4 linked regions of the Saccharomyces cerevisiae S288C genome follow. The gene in region 1 interacts genetically with each later gene. Each region holds a gene or a part of one and is shown on either strand. Other genes may lie near its edges.

Region 1 (4,759 bases):
AAATAACGCCTGAAAGGTCAGGAACAGTGAGTACGTAGGAGTATAAGAGCGTGGGGAAACACAAAATGGGCAAAACCGCGGATAATCATGGTCCAGTACGTTCTGAGACAGCACGTGAAGGAAGAGAAAACCAGGTTTACTCACCCGTTACAGGTGCAAGATTAGTTGCTGGCTGCATATGTTTAACACCCGACAAGAAGCAAGTTCTCATGATTACTTCTTCTGCACACAAGAAAAGATGGATTGTCCCCAAAGGTGGCGTTGAGAAAGACGAGCCTAATTACGAGACGACTGCCCAACGAGAAACTTGGGAGGAAGCTGGTTGCATAGGTAAAATTGTCGCCAATTTGGGTACAGTTGAAGACATGAGACCCCCTAAGGACTGGAACAAAGACATTAAGCAATTCGAGAACTCTCGAAAAGATTCAGAAGTAGCAAAGCACCCGCCAAGAACCGAATTTCATTTTTATGAATTAGAGATTGAAAATCTCCTTGATAAATTTCCGGAATGTCACAAAAGACATAGAAAGCTATACTCTTATACAGAAGCTAAACAAAACTTGATAGACGCCAAGAGGCCTGAATTGTTGGAGGCCCTTAATAGGTCTGCTATCATTAAAGACGACAAATAGCTAGCACATACATATATATGTATATACGTCATGGTCGTCAAGCCACCGCAAACATATTTATCTATTCCTTCGCAAATATGCTCTTTTCACTTCGATCCGCCCAGGAATCCCGACATCATGTCTTGTAGGAAATTCGTTTGTTTAGGAGCAACAATATTGAAATATTCCTGGCCCAAAAATTCTAACTCACTTTTGTAAGCTTGAGAAAAATCTAAATAATGGTTCTTTAAATTCAAGAAATAGCTCTTATCCTTAGTCTGACAGGTAATTAGCAACAATTGCAAAAAATTTAGGTCGGAATAATCTTCAAAAAAAACTATTTCATAACCATTTTTATCAATTTTCTCGTACTTGGGGTGAAATTTCTCAATAAATCTTTCCAAAAAAATGTCTTTTGATTCATGTGCAAATGATATGTTAGAGATGAATAAATAGTTGAAAACCAATCTGCTGAAGAACTCAGCCACCGTGCTATCTTCGATATCATCAACTTGGCATAACCAGTCCCATAGTAAATCGACATATTTGATCATTGAATCATGTGTACCTAACATAAAATATCTCTCAGCTTCATAAACGAAATCTCCCTCTAATAGTTTGCTACCAATGGTGTTGTGCAAGTAAGGATCTCCAAATTTGTATTCACTAAATTTGATAGACCAATTGTTCATACCAGTAATAACGTCCTTTAAATTGGGCTCGCTAGGATCCAATTCGGCTATTAATCTAACCAATCTAGCAACTGAGATGTCATCAACTTTAACTTCCGCTAAATCATAAACTTCTAAAAGATAGAAGATCAAATCCGTGCCTGAACCGCCCTGCTTCGCCTTTAAAAATGAAAGGGCCCCTTGACTAATTAGTTCTATGGCATGCTCGTATGATTTACTTCTAACATATCTATTAGCAATAGTTCTCAACGTTTGATGCGCTTCGTAATAATCTCCAGCTTTGATCTTATTTTCGAATCTTTGTAAGGTTTTAGCGAGTTTCGCTTGTACAGCATTAGATTCAGCAGGAACCATAGCTTGTTATTATTATTTATGTCCCTTTATGATGTTTACTTGGTTGTTTTACCGCACATGTTATTATTTCATTTTTTTGACTTTCCTTTCACTTTTTTTCCCATTGTTTGTTACCTTAACGAAGAGCGACAAAACGAACAAAATACTGAAAGGTGTATTTTGATGGTAAATAATTATTGACTTATTTCAACAAACGGGCTACTAACTCACTCGACGGTTGACATACTTTAGTCATGGCTGATAGACCTGCTATTCAGTTGATAGATGAAGAGAAGGAATTTCATCAAAGTGCATTACAATATTTTCAACAATGTATTGGAAATCGTGATGTTGGTCTAGATTACCATGTCATCTCAGTTTTCGGTTCTCAATCGAGTGGTAAATCGACTTTACTTAACGTCTTGTTTAACACCAACTTTGATACCATGGATGCTCAGGTGAAAAGGCAGCAGACTACTAAAGGCATTTGGTTGGCTCACACTAAACAGGTTAATACAACTATTGAAATCGATAATGATCGTCCAGATATTTTTGTGCTAGATGTTGAGGGCTCCGATGGTTCAGAAAGAGGTGAAGACCAAGATTTTGAGAGAAAAGCCGCTTTATTTGCCATTGCAGTATCTGAAGTTCTTATAGTTAATATGTGGGAGCAGCAAATTGGGCTATATCAAGGTAATAATATGGCTTTATTAAAAACAGTTTTTGAGGTCAACCTTTCCCTATTTGGCAAGAATGATAATGACCACAAGGTGCTGTTACTTTTTGTAATTAGAGATCATGTAGGTGTGACTCCACTCTCGAGTTTGAGTGATTCCGTTACGAGAGAATTGGAAAAAATATGGACAGAGTTAAGTAAACCTGCTGGTTGTGAGGGTTCTAGCCTGTATGATTATTTCGATTTAAAGTTTGTCGGGCTAGCTCATAAGTTGTTGCAAGAAGACAAATTTACCCAGGATGTCAAGAAATTAGGTGATTCGTTTGTGATGAAAGGTACGGAAAACTATTATTTCAAACCTCAATATCACCATAGGTTGCCATTAGATGGTTGGACTATGTACGCAGAAAATTGTTGGGATCAAATTGAACGTAACAAGGATTTAGATCTTCCAACTCAGCAAATTCTGGTTGCTAGATTTAAAACTGAAGAAATATCTAATGAAGCTCTAGAAGAGTTCATTTCAAAATATGATGAATCGATTGCTCCTTTAAAGGGTAACTTGGGATCTTTAACATCTCAGCTAGTGAAGCTAAAAGAAGAATGTCTGACAAAATATGATGAACAAGCATCGCGCTATGCAAGAAACGTTTATATGGAGAAACGAGAAGCTTTAAATACAAAGCTGAATTCACATATTTCAGGTACAATTAATGAGTTCTTGGAATCATTAATGGAAAAGTTATGGGACGATTTAAAATTGGAGGTGTCTTCTAGAGACAAAGCTACTACCTCTTTTGTAGAAAGTGTGGCGGCAGGTAAGAGTAAGATTGAGAAAGAATTTAACGAATCAATGGAGACCTTCAAAAAGTTAGGGCTACTAATATCAAACGAAGAGATTACCTGCAAATTTTCCGACGATATTGAAGAAAGAATCAAGCAACTACGTGATGCTGAATTGAAAGCAAAAATCGGTCGTATTAAAAAAAATCTGGTTCCCGAATTAAAGGATCATGTGATTCATTTACTATCACATCCATCCAAAAAGGTTTGGGATGATATAATGAACGATTTTGAATCTACTATCAAAGACAATATATCTGCGTATCAAGTGGAAAAAGATAAATATGATTTTAAAATTGGACTTTCAGAGAGCGAAAACGCGAAGATTTACAAAAATATTAGAATATTGGCGTGGAGAACCTTGGATACCACAGTACATGACTACCTGAAAATAGATACGATTGTTAGTATATTGAGAGACAGGTTTGAAGATGTATTCAGATATGATGCTGAAGGTTCTCCAAGATTGTGGAAAACAGAAGAAGAGATTGATGGGGCATTCCGTGTTGCAAAAGAACATGCCCTGGAAGTTTTTGAGGTTCTTTCACTTGCTGTAACCTCAGATAACGTTGAAATTATTCCTGATGTACCAATGGCTGAAGAGGAAAGCGGCGAGGACAACGAAATATATCGGGACAACGAAGGTGTGTTTCATTCCCGTCGTTTCGCACACATCTTGACTGAATTGCAAAAGGAGAATGTTTTAGATCAATTCCGCAGGCAGATTAACATTACTGTTCTGGATTCGAAAAGGTCTATCATCACTACTAGAACGCATATTCCACCTTGGATTTACGTTTTGCTAGCCGTATTAGGGTGGAACGAATTCGTGGCTGTCATAAGAAACCCCTTATTTGTAACCCTTACCTTGATCTTAGGTGCAACCTTTTTTGTTATTCATAAGTTCGGCCTCTGGGGCCCTGTTGTTAATGTTGTTCAAAGTGCAGTTGGTGAAACAAGAACTGCAATAAAGGATAAACTAAGGCAATTTGTCGTTGAAGATCATGAAGTGAAGGAATCTTTTGAAATGAAAGATTTCTCAAAAAACGAGCAAAAAGAAAAATGATATGAAAATATTTTTTGATCGAATAATTTATTTCAATTTACCGTGTTTACTTTTTTGTTATTATAGTTATTATTATAATTACTGTTCTCCTAACGTGTCTGTGTGTTTGTATATAACTATAGGGAACTATTTATATGACATTAAAAATATATGCAAATGCATATCGCAAGCTTATGAGTTGTGTGAGTGGCTTCAATAAATCTGATAGATTTACACTAAGCAAAACATTTCAGGTTGATATAGCATTGATAGATGTTTTCCATTCATGAATCTGTTTCTCTAAAGATTGTTTCTCCTCATTTGTGAATTTGCTGAATAAAAAATGCAATACAGTCTCCCAAAATTGTTCAAATGTTCTTAAGTCATTCAGATTTGTCGGTTTTGATTTCAAAACTGTTGGTAAGCTCTTCCACTCATTCTTCTTTATCTTTGAACAAGTGAAAAGTTCCGAAAATACAGACACCCAAAACAAATAAATGTAATTCGAAGCGTTTTCTATGGTAGTTAATTTATCTGGGTTGTAATCTATGAATCCAAT
Region 2 (3,373 bases), on another chromosome or scaffold:
TTCGTCTCACGTGGTTTCTCAGCGTCTTTCACACGCTTCTGACCAAATTTATCTTACCGAACTATACGTAGCTATGTGTTGCTTTCTGCTGAAAGAACTCGATAATAGAATATTATTCTCAAAATACTTCAAAGTTTATTCTCATCGTTTCCAAAAACGCGTCACGCATCACCCGGCGCAGTATTTCTTCTTCCTTTTCCGCCATAAAAAGTCATAATAATAAGCCTATCTCAAGATTCTTATACTACTTTTAACAGTTTTATTGATAACTTACTTACGTTAGACCATCTTTTTTGTGCAAACCTTTGGTAAAAAAAAAGAACTGCGCTACCTTCTCCTAGTTTATGTATGGTACGGCAACTCATAGTTAGTTTTCTGTGCCCGTTTTAAGCACGACTTGAACTTACGTGATTATATGTATACAGTGCATGTTTTTATATAGAAAAATAAAAAAATGGGGTTACGTAGTCGAAGGATATAGCAGTGTCTAAAAACTTGCAAGAGCACTCGTAGCTCCCCGGCAGTGGAATCTTACCACTTCTCAGAGAATGTCGGAACGATATGTTACTGCACTGAAGTTTCGCGTTTTTTCCAATTTTGTATTATTTCATTCTACTCAATTTTGAGGTAACATCGGCGATGAGGTCTCCTTCTAGAAGTAACAGAATATGAAACTAAGGGCAGAAGACGTGTTGGCAAACGGAACTAGCAGACATAAAGTTCAAATTGATATGGAAAGACAGGTTCAAATTGCAAAAGATTTACTCGCACAGAAAAAGTTCTTAGAAGCTGCTAAACGCTGCCAACAAACTTTGGACTCTCTCCCAAAAGATGGTTTGTTGCCTGATCCTGAACTGTTTACTATATTCGCACAAGCTGTATACAACATGGAAGTACAGAATTCTGGTAATCTGTTTGGGGACGCTCTTCTGGCAGGTGACGATGGATCTGGGTCTGAGTCTGAGTCTGAGCCTGAGTCTGATGTGAGCAATGGAGAAGAGGGGAACGAGAACGGTCAAACAGAAATTCCTAATTCTAGGATGTTCCAATTCGACCAAGAAGAGGAAGACTTGACTGGTGATGTCGACAGTGGTGATAGTGAGGACAGTGGCGAAGGTAGCGAAGAAGAGGAAGAAAACGTGGAGAAAGAGGAAGAACGCTTAGCTTTGCACGAATTGGCTAACTTCAGTCCAGCGAATGAACATGACGATGAAATTGAAGACGTATCGCAACTTCGCAAGTCTGGTTTCCACATTTACTTTGAAAATGATCTGTATGAGAATGCTTTGGACCTACTGGCGCAGGCCTTGATGCTGTTGGGCCGCCCTACAGCAGATGGCCAATCTCTAACCGAGAACAGCAGATTGCGCATCGGTGATGTGTATATCCTGATGGGTGACATCGAAAGGGAGGCGGAGATGTTCAGTAGAGCCATTCATCATTACTTGAAGGCGCTTGGCTATTACAAGACCTTGAAACCCGCAGAACAAGTAACTGAGAAGGTGATACAAGCAGAATTTTTGGTGTGTGATGCTTTAAGGTGGGTTGATCAGGTGCCGGCTAAGGACAAACTAAAAAGATTCAAGCATGCCAAGGCTCTGCTTGAAAAACACATGACTACAAGACCCAAGGACAGCGAGTTACAGCAGGCAAGGCTCGCACAGATTCAAGACGATATTGATGAGGTGCAAGAAAATCAGCAGCACGGCTCCAAGAGGCCTCTTTCGCAGCCCACGACCTCCATCGGCTTCCCCGCCCTCGAAAAGCCCCTTGGTGACTTCAATGATCTCTCTCAACTGGTCAAGAAGAAGCCTAGAAGGCATTGATAGTTTTGTGTAAAATGTAGCAACCTACATACGTAATGTATATTTCTCCTTCTTTGGTACGGCGAAAGGGCCCCATTTTAAAAGGGTGAAAAAATATTTAAAGAGCAAGCAGACCATCCCTGAAATGACATACTTACTACATCTAAAAAAAGTCATTTTTCTCTATTCATAAGGAGCAAGAAACACTAGCCAAGAATAGTCAGTATAATGTCATCAAGACCCGCTAATAACCAAGGCCCCCCAAACCTCCCTGCCAGAGATAAGTCGCTCGTGCAAAGGTTCATGGCAGTAGCCAAGAGCTTGCAGTTTGCATGGTTTACCGGTCATTCCGTCGTATTGATCAGCTCCATTCTTTACCTGCTCAAGATGTCAGAATTTTATTACAGATCGGCATATCTCGGTGTCATCGAATCTTTCGGTATCATCATTTACCAGCAATTTTTCACCCGCAATGAACCATTGCAGACTCAAGATGCCGCTGCCACTAAGGCTTCCATAAAATCACGCGTTGCTGGACTCCTAAAGAGTGAAGACGTGCTTTATTTGGTTTTGGCCAACTTCTGGTTGTTCACTCCAAGATTTTCATTCAGCTTAATCCCATTTTTCGCGTTTGCTGTATTCCATGTTTTAATCTACGTTGAAAAAGTTCTCTTACCAAAAGTCTTCCACCTTTCCAGTAAAGATTCAAGTAAGATCCTCAGCTTCATCGACAAGTTTGTTGTTCAGTACAATGACTTGTGCATGCACTGGGTCGGTACTGCTGAGCTGCTTATTTTCATTTTGGTCCTTTTCAGAGCCATTCTGTGCTTCCAAAGGTCTTGGATCATACTTGTTGTGTACGCCATCTTTATTAAGTTAAGATACGAAAACTCCAAGTACATGAAAGCCGCCTTTGCTCAATGGAGAGTTAGAATGGACGGGATCATAAGCCACCCATCTATCCCACCATTCGTCAAAAGAGCTTATAATGCAATTAAAATGAGCTTGATCCGCTTGTCTGAGTACCGCTTAAGCGGTGCCCCACAAGTGACCAAGAAGCAGAATTGAGTTTTATTATTACTTTTTACAAGTTCAATACCTTCTAATTACTTTGTATAACATTCCACTCCTCTCTTTTGCTTTTTGTTACAATTTGTTATATATTTTTTATCAATTTTATATCTTTATTCCTTGAATTGAGTTACTCAACCAACCCTTTTACGGTCTCACAGTGGTGAATTGACTGCATGGCACTGCATTCTTACTCTCTCTTGGGCCCTTATTCGTAGTATTTCCGAAGCTTTTTTTTCCGAGAAGTTCTTCCGATTCACTTTCTCGAAGTTTTTTTCTAGAACATTCCATCGAAGATTTCGAAAAAAAAAGCTTCGAGGTTTTGACGAAATTTCATTCTTAAGCACTATGGGAAGGTGTGGACGAATTGTTATATATAAGCCGCAATTGGGCTGGGTTTTCTCCAAAAAATGTTGAAAATATAATACTCTCTTATTTAAGTTACTTCTATTCTTCAATTGATTAATTCCAACAGATCAAGCAGATTTTATACAGAA
Region 3 (5,056 bases), on another chromosome or scaffold:
AACCCTCCTTGGGCTTGGCGTATACGAAATATGCTCCTGCGAAGCGCAGTGGCAATATTGAGCACTATGTTAACGATAACGTGTTGGACTCATCGTCTGTGCACATATGATTGAAATCGGGAATCCTCTGCTTTTTTTAGGTAAAATCAAACTTTGGCTAAATTTGGATGATTACTTAAAGTAAGAAATGAATCTTAAGAGATGTATGAGTTTTGTGATAATTGTTGTGATTCCATTGTTGCCAAAGGCCATAATATTTTGAAATTCACATTCCTTCTACAAGGTATTTGTTTCTTAAATGTTCATCTCCAAGAAATAATTGGTTTCGTGGTCTAGTCGGTTATGGCATCTGCTTAACACGCAGAACGTCCCCAGTTCGATCCTGGGCGAAATCATTTTTTAAATATGCCAAGCATAAAGTGTAACTCTGTTTCTCTGTCTGTCTCTATTTCTTTTTTAAAATCGTGCTCACTATCGTATTGTATTGTATTGTATTGTATTATTGCTATATTATTTTTTATGTATTTTGTCTATAATACCACCCCCCGTCTTAATTTCTCTTTTGATACATTAAAATATAGGCAGTCCTCGAATCAGAAGCTTCTTCGCCACCTTTCAAAACGTCATCGTCCTCTAGTTCGGTAATATTTACATCATCTATTCTATACCATTTGTTGTGCTCGCTATGATAAACATCCGCTGTGTAATGACCGCCATCGGAACTTACCCCATGATGGTATATAACTCCGGTTAGCTTATATCTTCTATCATCAATCCCTGAGGTGTTGTTTTTCAATGTTATGGAAGACATTGATTCTTCAGGTATGATTAACTCGTGACCATATTTAATTTTTTTCCTGATCTTCTCAATACGTCCATTGTACGCGTTATAGTTCGTCATTGCGTTGTCTTTGTTCACATTATTTATGAATGAGAATCTTTTGAATTGGATTAAAAGAACTTGCGGCAATTTATCAATAAAAGTCTGCTTCTTGGCCTCGACATCATTCCCTGACGAGGACTTAAAGGGTAGCAATTCGTATTCACTAAATTTTTTGAATGCAGTTTCTAGATCATTCACACCAGCATCTGAAATGTCCAATTGAATTGTTTGGAACGGATCGAGTGTAATCGATTGAGATTCCTTATTGTTCGGTATATCTAACACAGATCTGAACTGGCCACCGAAAAGTTTGGAGATTGGTGATGGAACAATCTCGACAGTCCTCTTGGCAGCGGTCTTAGTTTTCTTGCCTCTTTTGCTAGATCCGCTCACTTCATGCCAACCATTTTCTTCGGTAGAGTCATCATTGATCACGCCATATTTTTCTATCAACTCCTTCAGTCTAGGACTAGCATTTTTGATAAACTCTGCTTTTCCATAACGTGACAAATTTCTAATAAAGAAAACTTTCAATTGTTCATCATTAATACTTTGCAGCATATTTTGAATTTCATTATCGGTTAAGCCATCAATTGCAGAAATTAATTCCTCGTGTAATTGGTCCAATAAGTGGGTCAAAAATTCTTCTGCGTCTTCCTGATGGCCCCATTGCAAGTCTTTGAACTTCGGTATAGTAGACAAAGTTTTGTAAAATTCGTCAGGTTTGACAGCATCGGCAGTGGCGCAGTGTTGGAAACTCTTGGATTTTGATGATTTTTTTGCATCACTTTCCGTGGTTTTTTCAGCATCATCAGCATTCTCTAGGAATTTTTTCTCATAGGTTTCCTTATCGAATTGCTTATACATAGTCAAACAAGCATCTAATAATTTACAGGATGATGTGCCGACTCTTGAATTGGTATTCCGTGTACTGAGAACGTTAATTACATCAATAAATGGCTTACAGTAGAGTAACACTTGTAACACAGAACTCATAAAACAAATGTTGGCTCTGTTAATTATGCCTCTTGGAATAATGGAATGGACTGGTATTTTGTTTTCAACATCTTTATTCCGTAAAACGTAACTAATGAAATCGGGATCAAAACACATTCTTAACGCAATCGAACCCAGTGGCTCAATACCCTTTGTAGAAGGTGGAACGTATTTTTTATCCTTTTTCTGAGGCTGCTTGGACAACAGGGGAGAGCTGGATTTACCTATAGTCGCCGCAGCCATGTTTGTTGATGAAACGCCTGCGGTCGTACCAGAAATTGGTGTTTTAGTGACCATCGATCCGGAGACTGTTTTGTTACTAGCTTGTCTACTTTTAATCGCATCTGATGCTATGGCGGACCAGGATTTTGCTGCTGGAGGAGATGGTGAAGGTGAAGATGTCTTGGAAGTATTTTCTTCAACAGATTCCTCTGGTTCCTTCTTATCCACTACAGGTAAAACAGTAGCTTGAGGTTCCTGTATAACTTTTTCGTTACGGTCTTGCTTAGCATCCTCTTTCTTTACTTCAGTTTTCTTTTTAAGCTCGTGCGCATCTTTGCTCGCATGTGGTTTTTTATCATGAGCATCTTCTTCTTCCCCATGTGTTTCTGTCTTTACTTCCTCATTATGCTTTGGTATACTATGGCTTTTTGTGTGATGATGGGCAGAGCTCTTTTCTACAGATGAGTTCTCTAAGCTTTCAGAGTTTAGGTTCAAAGCCTTCATGTTTAATTCGTACCTTTGGACACTTGCCGCAGCAAATTCTGCTTCCGTAGTGTTTATGAACAGTGGCAATTGAATCAAGTTTGATGAATTTTCCTTGAGATTCTTTAATTTAGTGACATCAAACTTGTATAAATCATACTGTGAAGAAGAGTTGTAGGAAGAGTACGATGGTGAAGTAGCCGAAGAACCGTTGCCGTTGGAAGAGTTGGTCTGTTTTTTCATGCCCGCATTGCTGCCACTGTTTGGAGAGGCCATCATGGGGATATGATTGTTAGAGTAATTGTGATGGTAGGTGTGGGATTTGTTGTAGCTCATGCCGCTACCGCTAGAGTTGGCGCCTTGATTACCGCTGCTTCCATTGTTATTGGTAATGCCATTAGAGTGCCACTTCTTCTTGTTAATGTTGTTGTTATTGGTAGTGCTTCCGCCGTTAATATTGTTTTGCGGAGGCAAGTGATGTGGGCTGCCACTTTGATGGTAGATTGGCTGGTTTTGGTTGACCATATTAAACGAATAGGCAGGTATTTGTGTGGGGTATAGATATGGGGCCTGAGTGTAGCCGTACATCTGCAAAGGCGCTTGATAAATAGGAATCTGCATATTGGTTGGCGTAGGTGGTGGTGGAGAAGAGGTTTTCGGGTACATCGAGTACGACTCTTCTTTGTTAGCGTCTTGCATGTTCATTTTTTTTAATGATGATGGAAAGGAAAGCGGTACCTGGATGATGGTAGCAGACGAGTCTGACTTACTATTAAAATGACTTTCTTCTCTAGAAACACTTCTCTTCCCTTTCGCTTTTTCGCTGCTTGTTTGTTTTATCACATTATATTTTTTTCCTTCTTTTTCTTTTTCTTCCTTGCCTTTGCCCGTAGAAAAATTACCCTCTTATTACCGTTCACCTATATACGTATTCCTTCTACATAGTTATGTTATTGGTGATCGCATGAGATTTGCAAACAGCACCAAACAGCTCAATGCCCCTGTCGATATCATCAACTTCTAAGAAACTAATAGAAAGCCTAAAGCATGACTGACCCCAGTTTTTCTCATCGCCGATGACCTCGAAATTGGAGCCGTCGGCAAGGATGACATTAAATTTCTTGGCAAGAATAGTGGATATCTCCATGGCATTGTACGCTGGTGGGAGAGTGATCCAAGTAAAATAGCCGCCCTTCAATGGCATAATCTCGGTTCCTAGGGGCATGTATTTCTTAAGCGCCGAGGTCAAGACAGTGGCCCTCTCGGAGTATACGGATCTCAGATGTGCAATGCATCTCTGGGCGGCACCACTACGCAGCATCTCACCCACGATCATGGAGTTCAGTTGTGAGGGAGTTCCGCCAGAGACGTTTGCACCACCTTTAGATAGCTGTCTGGCGAGATTCGCGTTGATTGACTCATGGTATCCAAATCTGAGCCCAGGGGCGATCAGCTTGGAGAAAGTTGCGTTGGACACTGTATTCCCGAACGAGTCCTCACCGGAGGGCGCTGTACTTCTGTCTATGTGCACCATCCTTAGGGGCGGAGAGGGCAGCTCATCTGAGGGCGTCGTGTAATCTAGAATATCGTACACGTCATCAGTGATTATCAGCATGTCGTACTTCCGAGCGATGTCGATAAGTCTGCGTCTGGTCTCAAGCGAGTATGTGTTTCCCGATGGGTTTGCAAACGTCGGGATGCAGTACATAACGTACCTGTAGACCTTCTTGGTCAACTTTGGCCCCTGAATCATCTCTGTGGTACTATGGGGCTGCGGCTCCGCCTCGTGCTGCTCAAGGGCAGAAATCAACGACTCGAAATCAATCGAGTCGTGGCCCTGCTCGTTGATGGCGGTCATTTTCCCCTTGAATCCCGCATCTGTGAAGCAATTGTTGATCAAGAAATATGTTGGCGTGATGATGAACGCCTGCCTGGTATACCCGTTATGTGGCAAGGTTGTTTGCAGAAGGATGTTCAGCATGCCATACGAAGCGCCGCTATTCAGATTCAAATAGTCTGCCCGTGTCCTGCTCCGAGCCCCATTTTCGAACTTAAACAGCTGATCATTCAGAAACGTACAAATCTGCTCTCGCACCCACAGGGCACCTTCGTCCGAACCGTACGTCAGCGGATGCCTGTTATAGGGGTCGTTATCGTACTCCCTGGTCTCGGGCCCCAATATAGCCGCAGTCGCTTGAATTACTGCTTCTCGAGGCAGCAACCTCGAGCTCGGATGGCCCTTGAAGAAATTGATTTCCTTGTATTTCATTACCGCTTGCTAGCACGCGTTGTTCCTTGTTACAGCGATGCTCCACCCAGATTTATGTGTTGATTTCAAATCCTCTTCTCTTTATCACTAGTTCGGCATCCAGCAGCGGCAGCCCGCGATAACTTTGACGGAACTCCGCCAGCACACGTCGCGCCTGCGCTGGGCCGGGAACATGCCAAAGGACACCAGCCAGTAGTAGCGGT
Region 4 (2,909 bases), on another chromosome or scaffold:
TGTTTCATCCACGCCTGGTAAAACAAAACACTTCCAAACTATTAAGTTATCTGATTCTGTCATGCTTTGTGACTGTCCCGGTCTTGTCTTCCCAAACTTTGCATATAACAAGGGTGAGCTCGTGTGTAATGGTGTTTTACCTATTGATCAATTACGTGATTATATTGGTCCAGCAGGTTTAGTAGCAGAAAGAATACCAAAGTATTACATTGAAGCGATTTATGGTATCCATATTCAAACCAAATCAAGGGATGAAGGTGGGAATGGGGATATACCAACTGCTCAAGAATTGTTAGTCGCATACGCCAGAGCTCGTGGTTATATGACTCAAGGTTACGGTTCTGCTGATGAACCAAGAGCAAGTCGTTATATATTGAAAGATTACGTCAATGGGAAATTACTGTATGTCAACCCTCCGCCCCATCTAGAGGATGATACACCTTACACTAGAGAAGAGTGTGAAGAATTTAACAAAGATTTATATGTGTTCGACAGATTACCGGACACCAGAAAGGAGCAAGTGCAAAATGCTGCTAAGGCTAAAGGCATTGATATCGTGGATTTAGCTCGTGATTTGAATCAGCTAACGTTTTCAGCTCACACTGGTGGTGACACACAAAAAGAAGCCAAATCTGTTACGCACGGTGGTAAACAAGCTGCATTGTACAATGCCGCTGAGGACTTGGATAGAGACTTCTTCAAGATGAACAACGTCGAAGGTAGATTAAGTACACCATTCCACAAAGTTCAAAATAGTTCAGCTGGTAAGAGACATAACAAAAAAAACAAAAGTAAAAATGCGAAAAGCAAAGTTTTTAGCATTGAAAATAATTAGCGGTAACTAACATATATCTTCTCAAAAAAACTGTGTACTATTATCTTTTCATCTCGCCAATTAATGACAGCGTTATTTGAGAATAGACCTAAGATAATAAAACTATGTTCGTTACCCGGACAAATTTTCTTGGAAGAATTTTTGAGTCCTAGAGATATTATAAAACGGCCCTCTATTAATTTGCTCTTTCTTTCCTCAGTTTAATTCTTCTTTCGAATAAAAAATAAAAATATCATGGCTCTTCAACACATTTCAACATGTTCAAGTAATTTGTGTTAGTGGATGACCATTTAGGGGCTGCTGGCCTGGTTACCGGGAGTTTTTCTTGGATCCAAGCTAGCTTTTCCGTCTGATTATCCTTAAGCTTCACAAATTACAATTTTTCCCACGCATTAAGAAATAAGCTCAAGATGCCTAAAATAAGTTCTATCCCGCCTTTTTTCGCTAACAATGACTGAGTATTCCCACAGTCTATAGTTTGATAGTAGATGGGCGGAAATTTTTCTCATATATTTACTTTTTATAGGAGAGTATATTTACGTACGTATAGTGATTGCATGTAGTTGCTCCCTATATCTTGTCATATGAGCGTGATACTGACCGATACCTGTTACAGATGTCGGTCTGGATTTGTTCGTTTTTCTTCCCTAAAGTAGGTCAGTATATATAAAATATGGCCGGAGGAAAGCTTCACCACTTTATCACCACTAAATTTATAAAGTAGAATACAATTTCAACATACACAGAGAATAAAAAAAGGTTGACAGGACACATAATAGCAAGGCAAGATGGCTGAAACTTCCAACGACCCCTTTCTGTCCTACGTTTTGAGTAGCAAACAATTAACTAATTTGAATCGTCTACGAAGGAAAGCAGTTACAAAACAACTGGGATCAAGTGACGACAATAAGGTCTCAGAGGAGTTTTTGAGGTATCAACATACTTATCAAAGAGAAGCATTTGAATATCTGCAAACAAAACATGACGCCCACAAAATAATGGAGTCACAGTACGAACAGTACCAAAGCAGTTCAAAAACAAGAAGATATAGTATCGATTTAGATTCTGTAGATGCAGTTGACACGGAATCGCAAACAGAATACCCAAATGAGGAGTTTATTGATAGAAACGAAGATAGCGAAGCTGTTATGGAGTTGAGAAAGAGATTGTTGGGGAAGGGACAGAATAAGGGTTTAGGATATGAAACTACGAAATCAGTCGATAGGCAAATTGAGGACCAGGACACGTTGCAACAGGATTTGATTCAGGATATGAGCAAACTTGTGGGCAGTTTGAAGCAAGGAGCTGTGGCATTTCAATCAGCACTTGATGAAGATAAGCAAGTTCTTGGAGCTGCAGAGATAGGTATTCAAGTTGCTTCTCAAGGTTTAATGGATGTTAGCGGTAAATTAAGGAAATATGACAAGAGTAAATTGAGTTACTTGTTTTATATTACTGTTTTCATTTTTATGATTCTCGGACTGGTGTTTACATTTATCATAATTCAATTATTCCCGGCCCTATAATGTAATTATAACGATGGAATGATGTTTTTTGGAAGAAAAATTCAACTGTTTATTAATATTTACGGCATTTTTTCATGTAGTTGAGATTATTCCTATTGAAAAAAGCAAATTGTGAGAAAAAAGTATACAATAAAATTTGTATAGGCTGCAGAATTCTCCTTTCCGTATAGTTGCCTACTTCCCGTCTCAAACTGAATCCTGCTATCTGATTGCTTTCTGTGTTGGTGCGGTGAATCTTTTTATACATATAATATTTGAAAAAGAATAAACATTTGAGAAAACAAAAGTAGCTAAACAAAACGACAAAATCATAACATTTCCTGATCTGACTGAAAGCTAATAGAACAGCAGTGTTCGATGAGGGTAAAATAAGGAGGGGTCTTCGGTTACGTTATACTAGTAAGTTGATTTTGATTTTAAGTCATATTATTGAACGCATTATGATGATACTCATAATGGACTAAATTTTTCTCATGTATAAGGTCCATAGTAGCCAAGTGCATTCCATTACAATGTTATTGATATTATCTGTGCTCTCAAATTCGGCT

What was found.
Region 2: mutations in SEY1 (region 1) and POM33 together harm fitness more than expected from each alone (negative genetic interaction), as found in Saccharomyces cerevisiae (3 studies listed by BioGRID).
Region 3: mutations in SEY1 (region 1) and UBP3 together harm fitness more than expected from each alone (negative genetic interaction), as found in Saccharomyces cerevisiae (3 studies listed by BioGRID).
Region 4: mutations in SEY1 (region 1) and USE1 impair growth when combined (synthetic growth defect), as found in Saccharomyces cerevisiae (4 studies listed by BioGRID, with this or other methods).

Annotation. Positions count from the first base shown.
Region 1 is NC_001147.6:642,676-647,434, forward strand, and holds SEY1 (dynamin-like GTPase SEY1), read left to right. Parts: upstream 1-1,890; coding exon 1,891-4,221; downstream 4,222-4,759. Other genes in the region: polyphosphatase DDP1, read left to right, coding at 66-632; protein GET4, read right to left, coding at 719-1,657; SWT1 (mRNA-processing endoribonuclease), read right to left, coding at 4,451-4,759. UniProt on the Saccharomyces cerevisiae protein: Cooperates with the reticulon proteins RTN1 and RTN2 and the tubule-shaping DP1 family protein YOP1 to generate and maintain the structure of the tubular endoplasmic reticulum network. Has GTPase activity, which is required for its function in ER organization.
Region 2 is NC_001144.5:97,497-100,869, reverse strand, and holds POM33 (nucleoporin POM33), read left to right. Parts: upstream 1-2,033; coding exon 2,034-2,873; downstream 2,874-3,373. Other genes in the region: HIF1 (Hif1p), read left to right, coding at 669-1,826. UniProt on the Saccharomyces cerevisiae protein: Contributes to proper distribution and/or efficient assembly of nuclear pores. Required for normal pore density in the daughter nucleus during telophase.
Region 3 is NC_001137.3:469,136-474,191, forward strand, and holds UBP3 (mRNA-binding ubiquitin-specific protease UBP3), read right to left. Parts: upstream 3,290-5,056; coding exon 551-3,289; downstream 1-550. Other genes in the region: YER152C (2-aminoadipate transaminase), read right to left, coding at 3,522-4,853; PET122 (Pet122p), read right to left, coding at 4,906-5,056. UniProt on the Saccharomyces cerevisiae protein: Has an ATP-independent isopeptidase activity, cleaving at the C-terminus of the ubiquitin moiety in natural or engineered linear fusion proteins, irrespective of their size or the presence of an N-terminal extension to ubiquitin.
Region 4 is NC_001139.9:315,719-318,627, forward strand, and holds USE1 (SNAP receptor USE1), read left to right. Parts: upstream 1-1,623; coding exon 1,624-2,361; downstream 2,362-2,909. Other genes in the region: ribosome biogenesis GTPase LSG1, read left to right, coding at 1-835. UniProt on the Saccharomyces cerevisiae protein: SNARE required for targeting and fusion of Golgi-derived retrograde transport vesicles with the ER.